Drosophila melanogaster: one gene and its partner. The protein of the gene in region 1 purifies or fractionates together with the protein of each later gene. This does not show direct contact. Each region holds a gene or a part of one and is shown on either strand. Other genes may lie near its edges.

Region 1 (7,324 bases):
ACATATAAATTAAATTTACACATTTGTCATAGCTTTTGTAATTCTATGAAGCGTGCAAAACAAATATAACAATGTATGTATTTTTCTTTTTCAACTCAATATTTTTACGATCAATAAACTGAAATCATTCTTTTGCATATAAAAAATTTCATGGATTTTTTATTTAAACGGTGGGTTGCATTAGTTAAATAATAAAAATATGCACTGATCATGAATCGAATATAAAGGACATAAAGTGTCCTGTTGGTTTCAATCTGCCGGAATATTGTGTATCCTTATTAAAAGTTAATATTGAAATCAAAATCAAATCATGCTTATATCCCAAAACTTATAGGATGTTTTTATTTGTGTTGGAATAACCATATTTGTCACATGTGTGATATTTTAACTCAACATTAAATATTCTTTGGAGCTACATATATAAAAAAAGTTTAAAATAAGCTTAAAGAAGAAGGGTTTTGAAAAATCGAATTTGAAAACTGAATACGTTTGCTCGCCAATTAGTTGTTTTTGAACAGTTTTGAAAATATGAAGTTTCAAACATTTTCCTAAATCAAGAAGAGCTATAAATCAACTAAAATTTGAAGTTATAAAAGTCTATAAATAAAGTGCACAATATTATTGACTTATGTAGGTTTGGCTTTTAAGTAAAATTTATTGCTGAACGAGAATAAAAAGATCGGGAGTACATATAAGTGTAATCCAGAGACTATGAGACATTTGGTGGAATCTTCTTGATATATAATAGTATTAAAGAAGATGTTACGTCACAGAAATATTGAAAGAAGAAGAAAATTGAACTGGATTTTGAGATGAATTGCTAAATGGATTTAGCGAGGTCGGACATATAAATAAAACCCACCATATATATTTATCTTTTAAATATACCTATATAAAAATATACATATATCTATAGAATTTCTTAGTTTAGAGTTTTGATAACAATTTTTCCATATCGTTACTTAATTGGTTATTAAAATAAATAAATTATAGATTTTATTCTTCAGTTATATAGTAAGTTAAGTGGTTTTGTTTTAGCAAAAAATCGAACGGGGACAATTAACACACAAGAAAATCGGATCAATTGCCTTGCATTCGAGACTTTCGAAAGCAAAAGAACGGCAGGAAAACGCTGGCCGATCAAAATTCCAAATATTTCTCAATATTTTTTTACCGAGCGAAAATAGATTTTCATCTTGTTGGACTTTTGCTCTTGCTGCTTGTGGCTATTTTTGGCCGTGTATCTGACGGATACACGCACACACACAGACAGCGAGAGTGCTGTGAGTAAAATATAAATTGAATTTAGATTTAAGAAGCAGAAAGAAAAGCGCATAAATTTCACGAGAATGCAGCCCAAAAGAGAGAGCATCGTATGAAGCAGCTTTTGGGGGAAATTTCGAGGGAAATTTTCGAGATCGCCGAGCAAAGTTGCGAAAGCGCCATTCCACATATACATTTATTAATGGGAAATTTTTGAGGCGAGAAATTATTCAATACCGCGTTGGTGTGTGCCCTCAGTGTGTGTGAGTTTTTCCGATTTTCCGAGTGGCAGTGTGCGTGTGCGTTGGATCTTGGGGTCGCTTTCTGGGCTAAGCAACTTGGTCAGCATCAGTGTTCTCGGGGTTTCGACAGCGTATAGTGTGTTTGAAACGCTAAGGTTGGTCACGCCAGGATTTTCACCCGACAAGAATTAACTCAAAATAAATATAATTAAATCGCTCGCCTTTGCTGCTAACCAAATTGGTATTTTCAACTGGATTTCGAGTGGATAACAAAATTGTGATAAGTGCATGGCATTCAAAATTATAAATTTTGAATTTTCCCCAAACGGGAAAAAAAAGGAAAACCTTGTTAAACTTAAATAAAATGTGCATATGTATATGTGTCAATTAGCCTGGATATAAAGTTCTACAAAAAGTTAAATGAGTGATCCAAATGTAATGGAAGTGAAAATTGCTATAACTAAAAAAATGAATATCTCTAAAAAACTTAAAATGAACGATCTAAACTACTTGAAAATGGAGATCTTATGATCATTTTTCGGATATTTTCAAAATTCGCTTATAAGGAATTTTGTAACTAAATCTGACGGCACCAATACCATCCAATAAATATCTGTGTGTGTGTGAGAGAATTTTTTTTTGCACACACACACATGAGCTTCATTCGGAAAGCTCTACACGAATGGGACACATATACATATGCACCTTACACACTTATGGCACGCACAATTTTCACACACACAATCACACTCGACCGATAAAGTTTTCCTCGAAGAAAATTCTTTAAAATTAACTGCAGACAGACACCTGCCTGTCACACACACACAGACATACGCATTTATTTTTAACTCTGCCTGAAATTTATACGAAAAAGCTTTTCCGTCTAGCTTTCTGTGATCTCAGAAAACGAAGGCAGTCGAGAACTATAGGTATTTATCCTTGAGATTGTTTTCGAGAGAGATATTTTGGAAAATATTAGAGACGTAGACGATTCCCAGATGCGGATACATATGGTATCTATCTGGGAATATATATATTCAAGGCATAGCCACCCACACAGAATTGTAGATTTCAGAGCGAATATTTCTAGCCATTCGTGAATGCGTCCGAAGGCCGCAAAATTTGCCATCTTTAAGATACATATTCGAACTGATTGAAAGCCCAAGTACCTTTGGCAATCACCAAAAATTTTAATGATGTGAAAACTAAGTAGCTATTTAACATATTATAAGTTATTTAAAGTCTTTAGAAAGAAATCCTTTTTACCTCATAAATCACATATTAAACATTGCTTATGTTTTTTTGGGTACAAAACACACATGAGTATCGCAAGACCTCCAAAAGATCAGCAACTACAACATAAATGACTTTGCCCCACTTTGGGTGGTAGCAACATAGATACACGAATTCGAATACGAATACGCCCACACACCAAATGACCCCAAAGAATTGAATACTTTTCAAATTGCAATCGGTGGCGAGCTATGTACATATATATGTGGGGTATTTCGAAATAATAGGGGGAAACTCTAGAATTACATTTAGCACACAATGTCCAAAAAAGCATTTCTCCTATGCGTGTGTGTGCGAGTGGACTGGATATTTTTTTCTCACATGCAAAAGCATATAAAGTTTATTTTTAACCCCACCGAATCGTGCAGCAAATAAACATATAAACATATAGCTCACCGACGGATCCGGATTCGGATTTTGAGTGGGCGTTTTGAAAATGGAAAATGAAAATTACGTGAGATCTTTTGAGAATGCTCGGCGTAGCCGCCAAACAAAATGTGTTTACATTTAATTCTCAAATTTATTGCACGAACACATATGCACAGCATATAGATATATACAATTTAATTATACCTATGGATAACCTATAGAATGCGCCTGGATCGTTTAAATAAACCGATTTTGTCTTGCAGCGGAAACATAAAAATTCTAGAAGTCACAGTAAAGAAACAAAAATGTATAGTCAAAAGAAAAATCCAAGTTCAAAAAATCTGTAATTTATGAAAGGAAATAAACATTGGAATATCTTAGGACCAACGTATATATGTTATAATATATTATTAAGCGGTTCAAAGCTACAATTAGATTTAAATAAAAAAGTCATACATTTTATTAATTATATAATATTATTATTATTATATTATAGTATATATAATATTCTATGCCTTATGAAAATTGCTCCTTAAAAATTGCACATTAAGGATTCAGTTATTCAGCTTACTCATTTGTATTATTTGGCACAGTGCTTTTTTCCAGTTTTCTTCCCTTGTAAGTCAAAAACAAAAACACAAACACCATGGACGCCATCAAGAAGAAGATGCAAGCGATGAAGCTTGAGAAGGATAACGCCATTGACAAGGCCGACACCTGCGAGAACCAAGCCAAGGATGCCAACTCCCGCGCCGACAAACTGAACGAGGAGGTGCGCGATCTGGAGAAGAAGTTCGTCCAGGTGGAGATCGATCTGGTTACCGCCAAGGAGCAGCTGGAGAAGGCCAACACCGAGCTGGAGGAGAAGGAGAAACTCCTGACCGCCACCGAGTCCGAGGTGGCCACCCAGAACCGCAAGGTGCAACAGATTGAGGAGGATCTGGAGAAGTCCGAGGAGCGCTCGACCACCGCCCAACAGAAGCTGCTGGAGGCCACCCAGTCGGCCGATGAGAACAACCGCATGTGCAAGGTGCTGGAGAACCGTTCCCAGCAGGATGAGGAGCGCATGGACCAGCTGACCAACCAGTTGAAGGAGGCCCGCATGCTGGCTGAGGATGCCGATACCAAGTCCGACGAGGTCTCCCGCAAGCTGGCCTTCGTTGAAGACGAGCTGGAGGTGGCTGAGGATCGTGTCCGCTCCGGCGAGTCCAAGATCATGGAGCTGGAGGAGGAGCTGAAGGTGGGTCCTCAAGAGAAATCCTTCTGTTCTCAAACCACTATTCATGGTGTATTCCCAACTAGGTTGTCGGCAACTCCCTGAAGTCCCTGGAGGTGTCCGAGGAGAAGGCCAACCAGCGCGTGGAGGAGTTCAAGCGCGAGATGAAGACCCTGTCCATCAAGTTGAAGGAGGCCGAGCAGCGCGCCGAGCACGCCGAGAAGCAAGTGAAGCGCCTGCAGAAGGAGGTCGACAGGCTAGAGGGTATGTATCCAACTTCCTACGCCCCTGGCACATTCACTCAGCCATTTTCCGCGGAGGTATCTCTCCACGGGACACCGGAGATGCTGTCCACCGGAAGTGATCCGCCTCGAACGGCCGGATCGCTGGCTTCAACTAATGCTCGCATTGTATTTATCGCCATAAGGATATTAATAATTGTACTTAGTACTCTGCTTTCATTAATTGACGTTCCACATTCACACATCTCGCTCGCTCGCCCTTTTTTTTGAATATCTCTCTATATATATATTTGTATAAATGAACAACAAACAAATGCTTTTTGCAGACCGTCTCTTCAATGAGAAGGAAAAATACAAAGCAATCTGCGACGATTTGGACCAGACATTTGCCGAACTTACTGGATATTAAAAAAGATCACAAACAGAACTCACACAATGCCCTTGCCTCCCCCCCCCCCCAACCGCCCCTTGCCCAACTCCCCCAAAAAAAGGAACACTCTCAGTACATCCCGAATCCCACACAGTTTATTATATATATATATATATATTCTATATTATATTTTTGGAACGATTCCCCCAACAGTTTCAGTGTATTTACCACCCAGCCCAACACGCCACACTTATCTATACACTGTAAATAATCTGTTTAGTCCCGCTTGAATGTGGCCACACCCACACGACCAGTTCCCTACGCCAGTACACTGTAAAAATAAGTTCAGATCAAGCCAAACCAAGTTGCAACTGTAGTTAATACAGGTGAATTTATCAATGTAAATATTGTTGTTTGTATGCCAGATTCTTACCCGTTGTGATGTGGCATGACCTCTTGACCCGTCTCGCCTTCGCACTCTATCTCAGTCTATGTCTCTATGTCTCTCTCTCTCTCTCTCTCTCTATCGTCTCGTCGATCATCAGTGGCTTTCGTTCGAGCCAATTTCGCCCAGGCCTTGGTCGAGGGATTCTCTCAAGGATTGCTGCAACGATTGGTTGGATAGATCATGTCCACATCCCGTAGAGCACCCCATAGATAGTCCTGTCCCCCACCTCCCCTGAAAACCCACGCACAGAACCGCTGACTAACCCAAAAGATCAAAAGATAGAAACGCCTGCCAGAACAGCGCGCCACTAATCCTAATCAATAACTCCATAAACTTGGTACACATGGTGTAAAGTTTGAGTGTTTTTCGTTTCAATTCCAATGTTAAAAAACCATATTTTTGAATATTTTCTAACGCATTTCCAACCACCATTTGCACTCCGCAGACGAGTTGGGCATCAACAAGGACAGGTACAAGTCCCTGGCCGACGAGATGGACTCCACATTCGCCGAATTGGCTGGCTACTAAGTTGGCCAACAGTCCCATTATACCAAATCCACACCAGCAGCGGAGGAAGATGGAGACGACGACGAGATGGAGAACTCTACTAATTGTAAACGAATATCTCAAATTGATTTGGCCAACACGAAGATCGGCGGCCGCAGATACCAAGAACAACAACCATTGTGTATGCAATTCTTTATAAATCTATATATTTCATAATAAATAAATAACAACAACAAACAGATCAACAACAGCAACAAAGCCAACGAGCATAGAAAGCAAATGGAAATTCTTTTGTTTTATAAAAAATAAAATTATCTAAAGTCAAAAGTAGCAGAATGTATAAAGTAAACAAAACGAAAACAAGAACACGAATTTTGTATTTTTAAAATCAATGTTTAAAAATATTAAGAAGCGCTTGCAGTCAGGCAATAAGAGCGAGAGAGCTAGAGAGAGTGCCCAGGAAAGAGACGGGGCTAAATTTAAAATTTTAAGATCGCGCTGCCTGCTTTACTTTCAGTTTATATCTTACAATTACACCACAAACAAACAAAAAAACACCCACAAAAAAAGTATAAAAAAATTTATAAAAACTTTGCTAAAAAAAAATTATATGTTTGATGTTTGCTTTCAATGATGCACAAAACCGAATTTCTTTGCCCTTCAGCGAATCGCGCTGAAGTTCACTACATTTTTGGCGGATATGCAAAGTAGTCTTCAGTTTTTTCCACCGATTTCTCATACTCTTGGGAAACCCCATGGATGCTGGGCCGAAATAACCAAGTCCGAAGTGCGTCACCACTTCATCGGAGATGGATCACGATCCGCAAATCGAGGCCTTCATTGCAACATCTTTAGCATCCGCGCTAATTGTCAAAGCAATGAATAATGAAAGTTCAGTTATCTGTATATATATGGCATATATACACATCCTCAGGGTGATTTCCAGATATGAATTGTAGATGTGGGCAGCTCGCCGTTTTGACCATCAATAAGTGAGTTAAGGCCGCGTTCGACATGTGGGTCTGTTGCTCTCTTGGCCAAATGGACTTTCTTGTAAACTGAACTCGAATTGAATTTCCATTTCTCCTCGCTCTTCTCGCGACGTTGGCCATAAAATAGTTATTAAATCGTTAAGTGGTGTGTTAAATTACCCACTTAAAGCGCCAGTCATTATTTACATAATTTACATTATGGTATATGGAAGCTGGCAGATATGTTCATCTTATGAAAAAAAAAGAAAGAGTCATTTCGAGTTTAAAAAAAAAAACTTTTGTTTTTAGCTTTTAAAAAGAAATATATAGAGAACGGTTGATATTTTAAAAGCTGTTATCTTTAAGATAGAAGTTGAAATATGAATGATTATTCCATGTTTAT
Region 2 (4,890 bases), on another chromosome or scaffold:
ACTGAATTGGCTGCCCTTTCTTGGGCAATTAGGACGAGGCGCTGGCTGGCAATGCCAAGTGTCCCCTGGTCGAGTGGCTTTCACTGGAGGTTCCGGATTCCCAGCATACGTGTCCATCAATAATGCGTCCTGGCTGCTGGCTCCTGGCTCGCATCGCCGCAGCCATGCCTTCCATTCGTCAATTGGCCATCCATCAGTTCTAATTAATCATGGCTCGGGCCTAATGAGTTGCTCTCAAATATGCTGGGAATGAATAGATGCCACTATTTCGGACGCTCCGCTAATGGAAATGGGTCTTAACTCGTGCTATACAATTGTCGCCGTTCCGATAGCCTTGTTGCAGTGTTCACAATGCAATGTCCGCAATACGCAATTTCAATTTCACGAGAACCAGCAACTGCGCACAAATCCAGCGGTGATTCTCATGCACATGGAAAATATACGAATCCTTAGTTAATTCTTGGAAAGCAGTTTGATAAATTAATTACTTTCAAAGGAACATCGTTAATTAATAATTTTCGTTATATCAGCATCGAATAGGAGGGGCACACACTTTAACTTTTTATTAGTGACATCAAAATATTATATTGATGAAGAGATGCTGTTCGAAACCTAATTATGTATGTTATATATATTCAAAAAATACATTTGGTTACCATTTTAGTAACTTTTTCTCAGCGTGTAATAGAGGATATAGCTGTGGCTATGGCGTTGTCAGTGGGACTGACCTAGAGTCCGTCAACAACTTGAGCTGCCTTGGCGAACGTGTTGACATCTTTGTTTTGGCCCGCTCATAATTCGCATTTTTTCGGTTTGTTTTTGTTTTGACTGCGGCTGCGGCTTTGTTTTAGCTCGCTATTTTTTCCGAAAATATATTAACGGCTAACCCGATTCATCAGCCTATTGACAAGATGTCATGTGGGACAAGCAAATGACCGAACAAAAGACCGAATGTCTGGCGAGGATGGCTAAATGCAGACCAATCATACTGCATGTGATGACGGAGAGGAATTTGGTATTTATAGAATAATAAGCGAAAAATAAGTAATATTAAAGAACTAAATGATTTAAGACAACATAGTAACAAATGTTGATCTTCTTAGGCATATTATTAATATATATTACGTAAACAAGTGCTTAGAAACAGAACTTAATAAATTAAGATGAAATAAATATTAATAATTCAATGACAAATCTTAAGCGTATATATTTTATTATGATGTCTAGAGTAAAAAACCTACCTATCTCTAAATCATTTGTCTTTCTGTTAACACTTTTAATTATGCTGAATTCTATAACTACATAAAACTCGCGCGATATTTGCTAAGACATCAATTTCCTTATTCTATATAAGTATCAATATTTCTATAAATATTTAAAAAAATTCGAAAATGAATCATTCTGCCAGATAAATGCGTGGGCGTCGATCTTTTCCTCAGCTTTTCTTTCCGCTGGACTAAAGAAAAGTGAAAATCTCACTCTAATAACTGCGAAATAAGCCAGAACAATAACAGGTAAGAATACGTATTGAACAATATATTGTCGCTCTTGGACTTTCTGCGCGACATTGTAAAAAGCGAGAGGAATTCTTACAGACAATTATGGTACATATATTATATTATATGTATATATGTATATAATTCTTGCACAGGTTCGTTGGGGTCGGGTGAAGCTGGGAAACAACAAAAGTGCTACGTGAAAGTGGGAAGAAGACGCAGAAATATTTGTGGCACTTTTGTTGTTGCCTCAGGTTATATTTATAAAATTTCACCTCAAGAACGGCTGATCATCAAGCGTTCGAGAGTCGAGCAGAGAAAAACATTCATTTTCATTTCTGGCACGCTCGCGAGTGGACGTGCGGACCGATACGCCGATAATAGCTATAGCCCAGTTCGATTCCCAACCACCTATATCCATATATATATATCTATTAAGTGTATATAGAGGGGTGCAAAGATCTACCCAAAGATCTTTCACCTGTCGCGCAGTGCGTGAGGGTGCGTCCAAAAGCACCAGTAATCGCGACGCGAGTGTTGGTTTGAGCCAAGGCGGTAATACATCGTACCTCAGTTTGAAAGTGAAGTCAGTGAAAGTCCTTGTGCCGCCAAGGCATGCGAATAAATTTGCAAAAGTTTCGCGAAGCATCAGGAAATAGAGGAAGCCAACGCAAGTGAGTCGAACGGGGTGGATACGTCCTGATTTTAAGCTCGTTTTTGGAAACGCATTCAAATGGAGATGAGCTCGACGCATTCAATGGCTGCTGATTATGTAAAAAAAAGAAGAGAGAAAACGGCGAAAGGCGTGAGAATCTCGGCGAGAGAAGGAGCTTGGGAAAATGTCACCTGGCTGAAAATTGCGCTTTCTCAACATCCCACCGTGTGCACACTCCCACATTCGTGAAAAGCTGTCAAAATTATTTTCATCTCCTTCGGCTTCGCGTTCAAAATTTATTAACAAATTTTGACATAATCATGTATACAAATATATGTTGATGAGGATCTGTTATACGCTATATTACGTGTGTGTGTGTGTGTGTGTGTGTGTGCATATCTCATCAGAAAGCATGGCAATAATTTGCCCACACTCACACACACAGGCACGCACACAGAGACGCACATTGCTCATACGCCGTGTTGCTGCCTTATTTTTAGTTCGATTCAATCAGCGACATTTTCAGAGATTTTCTATTTCCATTTCTGTTGTTTGTGTTTGTCTTTTGCCCGCTGCTCGCTTATCATTGATTGCTTTGTTTGCTTTTGTTTCGGTTTCGGTTTTGCTTTTGCTTGTTCCTTCTCCCATTCTCGCCATCCATTTGGAATGTTTGTGGTGGGCTTTCTCGTATTTATTTTTATATTCACACCTCTCACACAAAACAATTAATTTCTCGTTTCGAAATATAAAAATAAAAATAATACGGAAGATTAAGTGAGAGAGGCGTGTGCGGTTTAAATTTATGTGCCGCCGGAAAGTAGGCAACAGTTTTTTCCAGTTTTCCTTTTAGCTTTATTGCGAGCACTCGCCTCTTTTCAATTCACTTCATCTGCCCTCCAACCCCATCCCTCCTCCGCTCTTTTCGAGTGTGCTTCAGCTGGGCGGAAGTTCAAGGTCGCTGGCAGCATTAAAGAAGTGCCATTGCAGCACGCTGGCAATAGATATCCACCTAAACTAGTTTTGATTCGAATTTACTGGCCACTTTTGCAACTTAAATTAAAAACTGCTCGAAAGTAGCGCGTTGGCAACTTTAAAGTAAATGTATTGCTTATGATTTCTTAGTGTTGTCTCATTTTCTTTATCCATTCATTTAAAGGTATTTTAAAAACTACATAAAGTTGTACACCTTTTTGTTGAAAAGTTTTTGTTTCAACAGACAAATAGCATTTATATTACCAAAATCTAATATGGAAAAATATTCCAAATGTTTCCGAGCTATTGAAGTTTTTAAGTCACTTGTTTTAAGTCAACTTGTTGGTTGCTGAAATCTGTATTATGTTTAAATATTGCTATATTCAAAAGCTTAGTGATTGCAAATAAAACCAATCTGCAATAATACTAAAAACGAAATCATCATAAAATGTATGAATTGATGTATAATTTTTCATGCCACATTTTACTGTATCATTTTAGTAACGCAATGAAGCTCCGAATTGTGCTCATTAAAGAAAATTAATTATAAGGGATATCAATGCAATTGTGTGAACAATTAATTTCTATTAAATTCCCTTTACGCGTTCGATGCTCAAAAGACCGCCGATGTAATCATGTTATTATAGTTTCGGAAATTGGTTTTCCATTGTTTAATTGTTTCCTTTGGTCGAAAGGAACTCGGCCACGGCAAGTTAATTAAAAAGATCTACCTTCGCAGCCATATGCTCGACCCCAGCTGATTATTCATTAACCTGGTCAAGAGTGTGTGGCCCACCGAGGAGCTTATCTGTCGCAGTGCACAATAAGCGAACCTTAAGCGCATTCCGAACTTCATTATCTTCGACTGTCAACCGCGCCCAATCGAATCCCATTCAATACTATCCAATCCCATCCAATCCCATGCCATCCAATGAATTCCAACTTTCACCACCCGCCTTCATCATTGTTTTGCGTGCCGCAGCCTTTGAGGCCGTATAATTAAGTTGGCATGATGCGGCTTATGCGCAGCGTGTTAATGGCCAGGTAAATGGCTACTCGACCCTCACTCCCCACAATTCACTCACAATTGCCTTTGGCTCTAAATTTAATATATTTTCTTTTTAATTTCAGCCAGCAGAGTTAACAGCCAAAGGAACAGGCCCCTTTCAAGGGCGCCTCGGATACCCAAGTAGACAATAAGAAGAAAACAACACTTGGAAACGTAAGTTATCACCGCTGAAATTGGAACGTCACAATACTTTGTAGTTTCTATAGTATTCCTTTGGGAGTGCAGCTAAAATTTCAAAAAGTTTCGATTGCATCTGCTTCTCCCGTCTGCTCCGTTTATTTATAGCCCAAAAATACAGTGCAGTTTTCATTTCTTTATTTGTTTTTCTTTTTGGCCTAGGAGTGCAGACTGCAGTCTGTGAATTCCGGGCTAGTGAGTTCTATTTTCGGCATATTCCCATAGGGAGATAGAATGATATATACAGAGCTAGAGGAGCGAAGTTCTGACCTTGAGAAGCATGCACAGAAAAAAAAACTGCGAAACTGGATAGAATTATTTTGGTAAAAGTAACAAATGTTTGTGTAGGGAACTTAACCTACTTACTTACCGAATGCAATTATATGTAGTTAATAGATACAGATAGATATTTTGAACATGTTTGAGAAAAAGCTTAATTGTAACTTTTAGGGACAACTTTTTGAATGGAATATGAAATTTTAGTTCGTATTGCAGCAAACTAATGGTTTACTGCTACTTAA

Evidence for each region.
Region 2: the proteins of Tm2 (region 1) and tn purify together in Drosophila melanogaster (affinity purification with western blotting; one study listed by BioGRID). This does not show direct contact.

Annotation. Positions count from the first base shown.
Region 1 is NT_033777.3:15,308,640-15,315,963, forward strand, and holds Tm2 (tropomyosin 2), read left to right. Parts: upstream 1-1,605; 5' UTR 1,606-1,660; intron 1,661-2,037; exon of another isoform or gene 2,038-2,434; intron 2,435-3,395; exon of another isoform or gene 3,396-3,555; intron 3,556-3,736; exon of another isoform or gene 3,737-3,760; 5' UTR 3,761-3,813; coding exon 3,814-4,407; intron 4,408-4,469; coding exon 4,470-4,647; intron 4,648-4,951; coding exon 4,952-5,034; 3' UTR 5,035-5,381; intron 5,382-5,888; coding exon of another isoform or gene 5,889-5,971; 3' UTR 5,972-6,558; downstream 6,559-7,324. UniProt on the Drosophila melanogaster protein: Tropomyosin, in association with the troponin complex, plays a central role in the calcium dependent regulation of muscle contraction. May also regulate motor systems required to maintain nuclear integrity and apico-basal polarity during embryogenesis.
Region 2 is NT_033778.4:18,985,522-18,990,411, forward strand, and holds the start of tn (thin), read left to right. Parts: upstream 1-1,822; 5' UTR 1,823-2,170; intron 2,171-3,862; exon of another isoform or gene 3,863-4,167; intron 4,168-4,254; 5' UTR 4,255-4,345; intron 4,346-4,890.